Linked DNA regions of Bombyx mori. The protein of the gene in region 1 interacts with the protein of each later gene in a pairwise test. Links are inferred from orthologs where the notes say so. Each region holds a gene or a part of one and is shown in the gene's direction. Other genes may lie near its edges. The genes, in order: ras small monomeric GTPase Rab6, ecotropic viral integration site 5 ortholog and TATA element modulatory factor.

The links.
Region 2: the proteins of ras small monomeric GTPase Rab6 (region 1) and ecotropic viral integration site 5 ortholog interact in a two-hybrid assay, tested with the Drosophila melanogaster proteins (2 studies listed by BioGRID). The link is inferred for Bombyx mori from reciprocal best matches to the Drosophila melanogaster genes Rab6 and Evi5.
Region 3: the proteins of ras small monomeric GTPase Rab6 (region 1) and TATA element modulatory factor interact in a two-hybrid assay, tested with the Drosophila melanogaster proteins (2 studies listed by BioGRID). The link is inferred for Bombyx mori from reciprocal best matches to the Drosophila melanogaster genes Rab6 and Tmf.

Annotation. Positions count from the first base shown.
Region 1 is NC_085111.1:16,052,815-16,057,097, forward strand, and holds the start of ras small monomeric GTPase Rab6, read left to right. Parts: upstream 1-1,419; 5' UTR 1,420-1,546; coding exon 1,547-1,616; intron 1,617-1,966; coding exon 1,967-2,025; intron 2,026-4,283. UniProt on the Drosophila melanogaster protein: Protein transport. Regulator of membrane traffic from the Golgi apparatus towards the endoplasmic reticulum (ER). Mediates membrane trafficking during egg chamber growth and organization, possibly upstream of exocyst component Sec5.
Region 2 is NC_085107.1:9,518,632-9,522,779, reverse strand, and holds the start of ecotropic viral integration site 5 ortholog, read left to right. Parts: upstream 1-1,325; 5' UTR 1,326-1,624; intron 1,625-4,148. UniProt on the Drosophila melanogaster protein: Functions as a GTPase-activating protein (GAP). During border cell migration in the ovary, acts as a GAP for Rab11 and is necessary for the maintenance of active receptor tyrosine kinases at the leading edge.
Region 3 is NC_085117.1:6,185,898-6,190,280, forward strand, and holds the start of TATA element modulatory factor, read left to right. Parts: upstream 1-1,468; 5' UTR 1,469-1,862; coding exon 1,863-3,728; intron 3,729-3,980; coding exon 3,981-4,198; intron 4,199-4,383.

The DNA of each region.
Region 1 (4,283 bases):
TCTCAGTAAGGTGGTGGTCATTTACTGAGACTTTTTCAGTGGACTTTTTGGAGGATCCCGAGAAGTTACGTTCAGCGGCTTTGTTTCATTTTCCCACATTTGTGCACTTTCACAGATATGAAACAGTAAATAAACCACCGTTAATACACATTTAAACCTGAAGAAGGAAACACTAAATAGACAAAATAAAACAAATCACACAACTTCACTCTTCGCGTTCCCGCCAAAAATATAACGAGTTTTATTATGTGTGTCACTGTGTGTTCTGACCACTTAGGTACCTACTTTCAATTCTAGTCGAGTCACAGCAATAAACACATCTAACGAAAATATCACATTGCCCTGCATTGTCCATTTAAGCATCGATTTCTATTGGTTGATTTCGAGTGCACATCCCTTAATTATGCTTAAACTAAACTATGACAACTAAAATAAGCTTATTTTGTAAAAAAATAGAGAACGTTAATGTAACTTATCAAAATTTTTATTGAGATGGCGTCAGGTTGACAAAGCCAGTTACATTTTACATAATTTAACACCCGGTGAGCCATGAAATTATTCATAACATATCCATAGCATAATAATTAGCCAATCATGCCTAACAAAAAAGAATGTGTTTATAAAATACAAGATGTGGTGTCGTGGGACACCAGGTAGGAACGAAGTTCCTTCGGCTAATGTAGAATCGACACAATTTGCAAAAAAAAAATCGTGCTCAATTTTATGTAGGTTTTCTTGATTTTTCTCTTAAATTTTGCTGATTAGTTTTTATTTAAATACAGGAGAGTATTTAGGAAATTCAATATTTTAGGAAATCATAAATTACGTAAAATAAATAAATAAAACTTAATTCAAATTATCAATTAAAATAACAAAATATATCTTTATTTTTGTTTGACAACATAAAATTACATAGAAATAGAAATAATTACAAAATAGAGAGAGAAGGGATGAGAGAACGAAAAGAAAGAAGGAGAAAGAGAAAGGAATTCTAAACTATTTGCTTGTGTATACGACTGTCGCGCCTGCGCACGTCTCATTTAACGGTTTTATTCCACGGACTTTTTCTTACGGTTTTACTATCACATTTTTTCAGTTCGGTCGCGCAGCAAAATCCCTATCTCCTCCAAGCCTGCCGTAAGGAACTTCGTTCCAATAAAATATCATTCCCAAAAATGGATGGATGTCTTTGTTGCAATCAGAATAATAATTGTATCGTTCGGAAACGTATATACTTTCAAGAAAATCAAATACATAGTTTAGAAAGAAACTTAAATTAGGAATGTATTTTCATTGTTTTAGATCCCAATCTAAAATACGAATTGAAATGTTTTTTTTTGTTCGCAGTATGCTATGTTGAGTCATTAGTAGATTTGCTGAGTTGGCTAGTTCGTCGCGCCGTCAGTCTGCCGTAACGTGGCGGCGCTGCGCTCGCCTGTCGCAGGAGTGGTTCGAACTGTCATTGTGGAACGTTCATTTTCATGTAGTTTTCTGTGATAAGATTACTGTAAAATTATAGTTTAGCGTAATAATTAAAACAATAACGATGTCTACATCGGGTGAATTTGGTAATCCTTTACGCAAATTCAAGCTTGTCTTTCTCGGCGAACAGAGTGGTAAGTATACGGCAAAAATGTAGTTTTGCTCTTGTACATTTTTAATATACAGTTTTGAATTTACGATATGTAAGGATAGATTCGTCTAGACTTTATTGAATTACTGACCTAGATAGTCCGGGCTGGGTTTTAAAGGCAGTTTTTTTCTCATTGCTCTTCGATTATAGTTTTTTAATGTAATTTCGTTTCTAGAGCGCTGAATTACGTGACTGATGTAGGTTACGTTCTCTCATCGTATTGTGAGCGTACAATGTTCTCACGGTTGTGCCGCTATCGAAAATAAATTTTCTTATTAATTCGCGTGTAGTGCGATAATGGGATTGAATGGTATGACATTGTTTTTCTTTCAGTTGGGAAGACGTCTCTCATCACTAGATTCATGTACGACAGCTTCGACAATACTTATCAGGTGAGTCAGAGACCTATGCAGTCGTAAAAGTATAAACTATCAAGCCATGGTTTCAAAAATTAAGTTCGATACATTTGATAATTTTCATCATTAAACTTGATCAACATAGAAATACAGCTATGGATACGTTTGACAAAGTAAATTCTTATTATTTATCCTTAATTGAATACTTATAATCATAAGCTTTAAGACTTGATCACTTAAAATAAAAAATGCATTTTTTGTTGAACATTTATTATTGTTAATAACTTTTGTTCTGTAATAAAAATACAAAAATTAGCATTCACATTTGAAATGTTTTTCCACAACACATTGATTGCTAATTATAAAATATCTTAACCTATTTTATTTTTATTATTAAATTTTAGCTTCTGCTGTAGAATTAATGTTTCTTTACTCATCCCATCAAAACTTAGATACTCTTGTGGACACCAAACTTTTGTTAAGCACCTAGCATTATTTGAGATTATTGAGAGAGCTTTTTAGCCCCTCCTACATAATGTTATTCTAGTCCATTTTACCCATAAATCTTTGGATGTCACAGGTTTTGAATAAAGTTCAAAGGTTGCAAAAAAATAATAGAGTGAACTATAATTAAAATTTTGTTCACATTTAAATTGGGTCTAGAAATTAATACAGATTGAGGAATTTGATTTGCTGTGATCCATATTAGAAAATCCCTTACAGTAGTTTTTTAAATTAACAATTTATCCTTTACAAATGTATTTATTACTTTGTACAATGTAATTAAAAAGATGTAACTAAGATGATATGTCTGTCTGTCTGAAGTCTCAAGGGAATGTGTGTGATCTCCCTTCTTGTTACATTACACTCTCACAATATATTTATATGCGAAATATCATTATAATGTATATTTCATTCAACTAGTATTCACTTAAAGGCTGAAATTCATCTATAAAATCAATGACATTTTAAAATTTAGATTCATTATATTAAGGGGTGAAGGGTTATTTGTTTAAGAGACATTTATCTAGGTATTAGGTATTTATTTGGTACTAGCTGTACCCGTCCGCTTCGCTGGGCATTTAAAATTAACATTATTATTTCTCACCCCCACAAAGATTCTCATCATTAACACCCCTGCAACTGGTGTAGGGAGTCCAACACTCATATAAATATAAGCCTATCCATTAAGTACATGTATTTTCTACACGGATACCAAGTTTCAAGTCCATCGGATGGATGGTTCAGTAGTTATAATGGAACATCAGTAAAAACCACAGTAAATTTATATATTAGTATAGATTAGCATCAACAATTCGATGTTTTTAATTAAACTCCAATTATGTTATTCCAATTTAAGTTGCGGTAGCATATTTTTTCCAAATTTTTATCTTTAAATGGCCCTCTCGTGAAGTTACAAAACTGTCTAAATGTTTAAACCAAATGGATTACGCGACATTTTTGTGTGTTAGCCATCGACATTTGGTTTGTAAAAGTGCCAACAAGAATTTTCCATTTTTACCATGGTGACATGAAAGTCAGCTGAAAAACAAGACAACAAGAACTTCTTGTCTTTGCCTATTTATAAATATTATTTTCCATTTACCTACTCTATGCTAGAAGTTTATTGTTGTTTTGGCTTAGCAATGGACACGACACCCTGTATTATTCAACATCGAATCCACACAAGGCATCCATAACTCTTCTAAGATCTCAGATAATACGAGTGCAGCATCCAGGAGCTACTGCTGCTATTTCTCTATCATCACCTCGATGTAACAATAGCCCCATCTATTTTCCTATCTAATTTGATAATTCCTAATCTCCTAGAGTGGTTACTACTTACTAAGATGTTGCTTTTTAATTCTGCACTATAAAGAAGATTTTTGGTATAATACGATTAAGCTTGTAAGTTATGTTTGTTTTGAAGTCGTCGTGGCCTAAGAGATAAGACGAATCCCGCAGGCGGGTACCAATTTTTCTAATGAAATACGTACTCAACAAATGTTCACGATTGACTTCCACAGTGAAGGAATAACATTGTGTAATTTAAGTGAAACCCGCAAAATTATAATTTGCGTAATTACTGGTGGTAGGACCTCTTGTGAGTCCGCGCGGGTAGGTACCACGACTCCGCCTATTTCTGCCGTGAAGCCGTAATGCGTATCTGTTTGAAGGGTGGGGCAGCCGTTGTAACTATACTGAGATCTTAGAACTTATATCTCAAGGTGGGTGGCGCATTTACGTTATTGATGTCTATGGGCTCCAGTAAACACTTAACACCAGGTGGGCTG
Region 2 (4,148 bases), on another chromosome or scaffold:
TTCTAAGATCTCAAGTATAGTTACAACGGCTACCCCACCCTTCGAACCGAAACGCATTACTGCTTCACGGCGGAAATAGGCGGGGTGGTGGTACCTACCCGTGCGGACTCCCAAGAGGTCCTACCACCAGTGACTCCCAAGAGGTCCTACCACCAGTGGTGTTTGTTAAATAATACTAACGTCTGGGTCAGAACTTTTTTTTGGTTTATTAAAATCATAGTACTTGGGAAAACGTTTTTAGCAGAGTACTTAAATCTTTAAGTCTGAAAGTAGTGTAAAGTTTAAGTATACTGCGAACTTCTACCCGTAAGAAAGGCAATCCATAAAAAACTAGATTTAGCTAGATATACCGGTTTTAGACTAAGTTAAAGTTTTTAGAAGGTAAAATGTTGTTCTGTTATAGCCAGAATCCATTTACTTAGTCTCCTACTGCTGCCATCTAGTTTAGATACGAAGTATTAAAATAAATCAAGAAAAAGTGATTAAAACGATTTGAAACGATTCTTGATATTCATTTATGCCGGTCAAATTACACTATTATTATAATATAGTATGCTGTATGTACTATAAGCGCTTAGGTTAAACTTACACTTGTGTGAACCTATGTTAACGCTTCTTATTTTCACAAAGGTCATCACTTTCCAATCTCTGTATACATAATTTACCTTTAACCACATGGATCAAATTTACAAGAGAATTATTGATGAGATGCCGACTTGTTGCTATAATTCATTATTATCTAGGATCAACGGAATAAATGAATATTTTATATTTTATAGTTTGGGTAGGTTTATCTAGTACTGATGAAATTACTGATCAATGTTAACATACAATACTGATTACCTTCTGGGGTACCGAAACCTAGACTGCGAGGCATCGCGAGCTTATACCCTCCCCTAGGCTCTTCGAGAAAGCGGCGCGGCACGTTAACTCTCTTGAATTGATCGCCTTTAACTGTATCTCCGACCCAGAGGACGGAAAGTCCCTTTGGCTATTTCAGCTACTATATGCATACACACGTAAAATACCACTAATCAGTTAGGAAAAAAGTGCCCGAGAAATACGTTCCTCACCCGTGAGTTTGAAAGCCTGGTTCTTTCCTCATGGAGTTACACTTGTGTAAGGTGCGGGCAAAATAGCTTTACAAGTTGTTTTTTTGGGTCTCTCTCGCTTTTCACAATAGTCACAAGGACCTAAAAATATCTGGTGTTATGGGCAAGTTTCCCTTTGCATTTTCAGATAAACAATTGAGTACATAAATTTATGTTAAATACCCATTGGATCTTTTAAATATTTAACTACAAGTCGACTACGGCATTTTTATTTGGGCGAGAAAACATTTGAATCCCATGGCACCGTTAATAGAGCTTATATTTGTGTTGGCATTGACATCACTATCACATGTCAAAGTAACGAGACACAAAGAGACATCTTTGCTAAAGTTTGCTGTGTATAGTCTGTATTCTGAAGTATCTGGAGTTTTAAATTTTGCCAGCTGGGCGGTTCCAATATTTATTTTATTTATGAAAAGAAAATAATTGTTTTACGAATTAATATCGGAGTCTCAGTTCCCGGAAGCTGTGAAGAATCAAATTATTTAATAAATTTAGTGTTATGCTGATACGTAAGTAAAATTAAATTTAAACTACGTGGTAATCTGTTACATGTCGATTGAAATCAATACCAAGCTGTTGCGAAAGTAATATTGTAAATTAGTACATTAACCTTACAGTTCTACTGAGTGTTCGCCGGAAAAGTCGAGCATAAAAAATGCATTGTAGGAATTGTAGGTATGATAAATCATTTAAACAACCCTCTAAATTTGTAGTCAGTGAGTTCTTATGTCTGATTTCTATAAAGATCAAGTAAATATTTACCATGACAACAATGATGAATATTAACAAAATTCTCAAAATAAAAGTAGACAGTATATTTAAAACACTTTTTTCCTGATATAATTTTTTTGAACCAAATTTTCACTCACAACTAATTCCTTTATTAAACGATAAAACTAAAACAAACAAAAGCTTTGAGTAACAAGTCTCAAAAGCTTACCTAATTACCTAAAGACACAATTTTTCCAAATGTTTTTTAAACAGAATGAAACTAGTCTAAGTAACAATTTTGCAGGCATACTTGTTGCTACACATCAGATAAAAATTTAATTTCTTTAATGTTTCTTCCTAACTCTTGCTATTTTTAATTCACATTAATACAAAGATTGGTTTAATAATTTTAGTTGTACCTAATGTATTTATGATCTGGCCCATAAATAGTTTAACATCACAAATTTAAAGAAAAGGACTCTTACAATACATGTTATAATACAATGTCCTTCTCATAATTATAATTTAATACAAAATAATCAATAATGCAAGATGACAGCATCTATGCAAAGTTTTAACTGAATTGGAGAAACAACTTGCGAATTTGTTTTATTTTCAGTTTCCTATCCAGTTGCACTATTCACTGGCTCCTTGACATCTCTCTAGCTCCTGCCAGCAATCCTCATCTCACCATTATTTTCATTAAATATGTCAAATTAGTTTATATCCTGTAGACCCTTGAAAATATTTGATACAGGACTTAAGAGCCAAAGAATAATATAATATAAGGATACTACCATATAACTGCTGATATTTAAGGACCAACCTCATGTCGTAAATAACTGCAGGCTATCTGTTAAAATTTTAAAGCACTAAGTTAAAAGCTTTCACCATAACCCTTAAAAAACAGCTGTATGAAATTACAATTTACTTAGATAATTGTGTGTGACCCAGAATTTGTAGAAGTTGCACACCTTACCTGGGTATATAGTGTTTAAAAACACAGAAAAATTATAATGTATAAGGAAACAAACGAATCTATAATTAAAAATATTAAATCTAGAGCTCAATTTAGAGTTTACAATGTTTTTAAATATTCAGATTTTTGTTGAAAATCTATTGAATGTCTATTTTCACCCCTAAAAAACCTTTTAACAGTCATCACTAGTAAACCAATAATTAACCTTTCTTAAACACATTTTACACAGCTCTATTGCATTACAGTTTTTTACAGCTCAATGACTTTTTGAGTCATCACCATAACTTCTAACATAAGACACCTTGATTGATACTTAAATCAATTTCTATAGATGGCTTCACCATCAACTCAAATTATAGATACAGTACAATAATTCAGTAATATAATGAATTATTTTACCATGCTATAGTAATTCATGAAAACGCCATATTAATAACACTTAGAGCTGTAGAAATCATGGTATTTTTTTATGTTTTCATGTAAAAGACATATTGGTTGGTGTACGCAAAAAAACAACTCTGATTACTTAAAATAATTTTATCTTTTTTGTCATAGTGGTTCTGTTTATTATAAACAATACATAATTGTTCTTTTGATAAAAATTGATTTTAGACAATGCCTTTGTGACATGTGTCAAAGTGTGACTATGAAAAAATCACCACTTACCAAATAACTCCTTCAGACAACATGCACATTGTGACGAACGGTAGTCATATTATTCTCAGAAAAATCACTAAGTACCTGCCCGAATGCTCTGTCCCAAATTTAAATAAAAGTAGGTAAATTAATTGCAATTGTTTTGTATTTTTTTTAAACCTGTTAACAATGTACTAACTCTAACATTTTAAAAAAACTACTCAAAAATGTATTTTGAATAATTATTTACTTGCTGGTCATAACTATTGCAGTGATTTCAAAACCACATATTTTCCATAATTTCAGGTACATTAAAACATTAGGAAAACAGTCAATACCCTTCGACTTGCCTCTTGCATAACACTTAATTGCTCAGCGAAAACTTATTAACATATCTATATACTTACTATGAATATTTTTTATGTTTATTTTATGTTAAGAAACCAAATAGGTACATTGCTTTTTCCTTAAAATTTATTACTTTATTGTTATATTTATATTAAGTCATAATCACAGATATTTTTATTCAATTTGTAACTTTTTTACTCGGTGAAAGTGAATTTGTGATTAATTATTTCTATATTTATATTACATATAAAATATTGCTTTCAAACACCTTTAAAAATATAATGGTTCTTAACTTTTTATAAACATATGTAATAGGATCACTAACTAAAACTAATTACATGCTCTGCGAAGTTATCCAG
Region 3 (4,383 bases), on another chromosome or scaffold:
CTGAGGTATAGTTCATTAAAATTTAAAATAATAAAAATAATAGTATCATAATTAACTAATAATACTAAACAATGTAGTCCAAAATATTTTATTTTAAAAGTATAAAATAATAAAAAATGGACAACAATGAATAAAAAATATGCTCCAGGTGAGGCTCGAACTCACAACCCCGGCATTACTCACACGTACACTGTCTTATAAGTACCGTGCGCTAACCAATTGCGCCACTGGAGCGATGGGAACGTGGTCGAAAATATATATTACTTAGTAATAGACTATGTCAAACAAATTCAATACTTTTTTTTACGTACGAACAAAAACTAAATACATAATTAACATATTTAAACTGAAAGAATCCTCGAAATTAATATAAACAAATATTGCTATTTGCTAAATCTTTATTTAATGTGATTTAAAAGTGTAATATTTAATCGCCAAGTAGTGAGCCACTTAGGTACTGATTTAATTTTATAAATTGAGGGCGTCTATTAGAGATGCATAAACATATTCGTAACATTGAAATAAAATAAAATATTTTTTAGTATTGCAAACGTGTTAATGTGCCTAATAACAACAATAACAGTTAATTTTAATCAATTACTAACAAAATCACACTCCGCTGTATCAGCAATATCAGCCGATCCATTCTTAAAGCATGCTCAATTTTATTTGTATTAAATGGACATGCTAATTTAAGTATGGAATACTCAAATTGGTACCATGATGAACCATTAGGTTAAAAGCTAAATAAAGTTTTACAGAATTCAGTTCGCCGTTGTTTTGTTTGTATAAATTAAAAAAGTTTTATGTCATTATCATTATCATAATTTAGTCATTTAATGAGAAAAACTTAGTAAAAAATCAGAGATATCTTCATTAATTGATCTTTCAAATATAATGGGAGGTACTCTCATAGATACAGACAAAAATCGACGACAAATAGTTTAAAATTTATTTTCAATAAAAGTTATGTACCGTACTATTAGATTATAGTCTATTATAATTATAATTTATTCAATCATTCAAACCGATTATTTCATCAACTCAAAGATTGCAATTACAGACAATAATATCTTGGAAATAGATTTTGAAAAGCTTTATGGAAAGAAAAAGTATAAAAATACTTTTCCGCTCGTTCCGGACCTCTTTCCTAAATGTAAGCCACCAAACAATCTAAAGAAAGGGCCCGTTCTTTTTTTTTTCTTTTCCTACCTAGGCTGGTAGCCTAGAGAGGCTATTCCAGCGGAACCTTAACTAGTAGGTGAGCTCACGGGGCTCAAACCTGACGACGATGCTAACACGAACCCTAGCAAGAGTCGTGCTTCGCAGAATCTACCACCGGATCGGAAACGCGACCCACTGAGAAGATCCGGCGAGAAACTCAGTGGGCTGTGTCTGAGAGTTAATTTACTCGTCGAGCCCTTCGTCGCAAGCGACGGGTTCGACGAGCACGGTGACCGGATGGGCCCGTTCAGGTGGTTTCTCGAATTATATACTCTTTGGTTTTTCGGATATTTTCAAACAGTTCATTGAATTCACAGAAAGTTCGTGCTCTTTTTATTTAATATTGAGAGCTTATTTCCACAATTAATTTTAGAATTTACTTCATTTAATTCGTTCTATTTTACTTTTTCGATAAAGAATCCAAGACTTTATAAAAAATAACATTTGGCTTAAAAGGCTAGAATCCAGGTCAATACATAAATAATAACAAAATGGAAACGTCATTGGACTATGTTGAATTGTTGATCAATGTTGACGAAGTTTTCTAACAACAAATTTCTTCGAATGACCTCATTCAAAATAAAATGTCGTTCTGATTATTCCTAAAATCTTAATGTTGTGTCTGATGACGCCTGAACATGAACTGGTTTGATACGTCAGGTATTACGAGCCTCGCTAAGACTGCGCTCAAAGGTGCTCAGAAGACTATTGATAAGGCTTTGGACATACAGGATGATAGTGAAAATGAGGAAGATCAGCCATCACCAACTAACAACGAGAGCGAACGATCATCAGGTAAGACACAAAGTCTGCAAAATGAAGGTGATTTTTTCACGTCTTGGGGACTAGGGATGAGCGCTAGTAACGAAGAAACAATAAATATCCAGCCCGTCGTTACTGAAAGTCCTTCGAAATTGAACTCGCAGAGTTTGTGGGGTTCCTTCGCCGGTTCTTTTTTCGAAACTCAGACTAAAGGTGATAGTGCAGTCACCATAATTAAACCTCCCAAAGCTAAATCTTTGAACATTATACCTGATACCAAATTTGGAAGTCAGGATGACTTGTTTTCAAAAAGTCAACTTGTTATGTCTGACACTGATGGTGTGGAGACTAAACCTAAGCCTGAGGAGCCTAAAGTTGAAGACAGAAGGGGCTCTTCACGATCTAATGCATTGTCATTTATGTCTAGTCGAAATGAAAGTTCTGATTCTGTCGAAGTACTATCACATAGCCTAAAAACTACACCAGATTCAGAAGCATCTGGACAGTCGATGTCAAGTAGTAGTACAGGTCAAAAACAGAATTCTGAATCAGTGGAGATTCTACTAGATAGTTTGATGAGCCCAAGTTCCATAGAATGTCTTGGATTTGATAGTTATTCAAGTGATAAAAATAGCAGTTTATCATCAAATCCATCACCTGATGTCAATGACAAAAAGTCAGCGCTAGGAGATGTAACAGAAAAGCCAGAGACAGCAGATAGTGTAAGTCTAGTTGCTGATGACGATGAAGACACAATATCCTATAATTCCATCTCTGAATGCACAGCGCCCACTGTACTTGACACGGATGATAAACCAATCAGTCCGTTTCAAAAGAAAGACACAAGGAAGCTAGTAGAAAAAGAATTTCTAAATGTTGATCATGTAACTCTGCAGAAGATTCAGGTTTGTGAAAACTCTTCTAATGATGGCTCATGTTCTGACAGAACCTTAAATGCAGACAATGACAGTATCAACCTAGAAAATATTGAAGAGTCAAAGAAAGATGATCATGATGATGTTTTGATTGAGAAACTTAGTGATTCCTCCTCATTCTACAATGTCAATGTCACCAGTGACATGACAAGATCTGGTAGTTTCATTAATATTGAGCAACAAAACTGTAGTGCATCCCAGAGCAGTAGTTCACAGAAAGATGTCTCCATGAAAGAAAGAACATCTCCAGTCAGTTCTGACAGCAAAAGTGATCTAGTAAAAGTTGGTTCAGACAGAACTTCAGGTCACACTTCAGGAGATGATTTAGAAACGACTACTTCTTCAGACATAGAAATTATACCAAGTCCAAATGGTGATGGAAATAGCTTTAGAAATAGCCCTGCTAAGTATGGACTCAAACCATTCAAATTTGATGGAAGTATTTCTCCTAATTTGGTTGACTTGGTGCTAGGCAAGTCTTTAGCCACAAAAATAAGGGGCCACAACAGGGAACTGTCTGAGGCATCTGTGCAAAGTAACAATAGTGATGACAGTCAAAATTCTGAAAATGAAAGGTTGATGAGGAGGCTGTGTGAAATGACTGAGATATTGGAAGCCAGAGAAAACAGACTGATGGAAGTGAGCAGAAATAATGCAGAACTGGCAGAGTCTAATGCAGATTTAAAGACACAAGTTGAGTCTTTAATAGCTAAGCATGAGGGTGGAGATATTAATAGTATAACAGAAGAATATACACAACGGATGTCTGCTTTAGAGAAGAAATTCCAACAGGCCATTAGAGAGAAGGTACTCTATATATATAATTGTTTTATTGAGAAACATAATCAAAAAATAGCTATATGTCTGTGATAGATTTTCCCATGGATATAAGAAAAAAATTGGTTGGAATAGACCTGTGCTTGGCATATTCTGGTTACCATTAAATTTTCATTACAAACCCAGGTCTGAAATGTCAAAAACTTACATGTTCTGAATATTATGAAAATTTCAATCATAGCCTTTGTACAACTAATCTACAAGTAGTCACTTTTCTCTCAGGACCAATTAAGAAAGCAATTAGACAACCTCAAGTCTGAATGTATATCTAGGAAGAACTCATCAGAATTTGAAAACATAATAAAAGAGAAAGATGATGTGATAGCCCAGCTGCAGGAGGAAGGCGAAAAGCTATCCAAACAACAATTACAGCATTCCAATATCATTAAAAAGCTGAGGGTTAAAGAAAAAGACAATGAACAAGTTATTAAGGCTCTTCGGTGAGTTCTTAAAGTTGAAAAGCTTCTTAAAAATCCCATTGGCATAGATAGGTCCCAACTTGCTATGTAATCAATGGTTTATCTTTAAACTAATAGTGATTGCATATTATTTATTCAATAGATTATGAGCTAGTTAATTAAATCATTTATCTTATCATTTCATTTGAAATTTCAATAATTTCGTA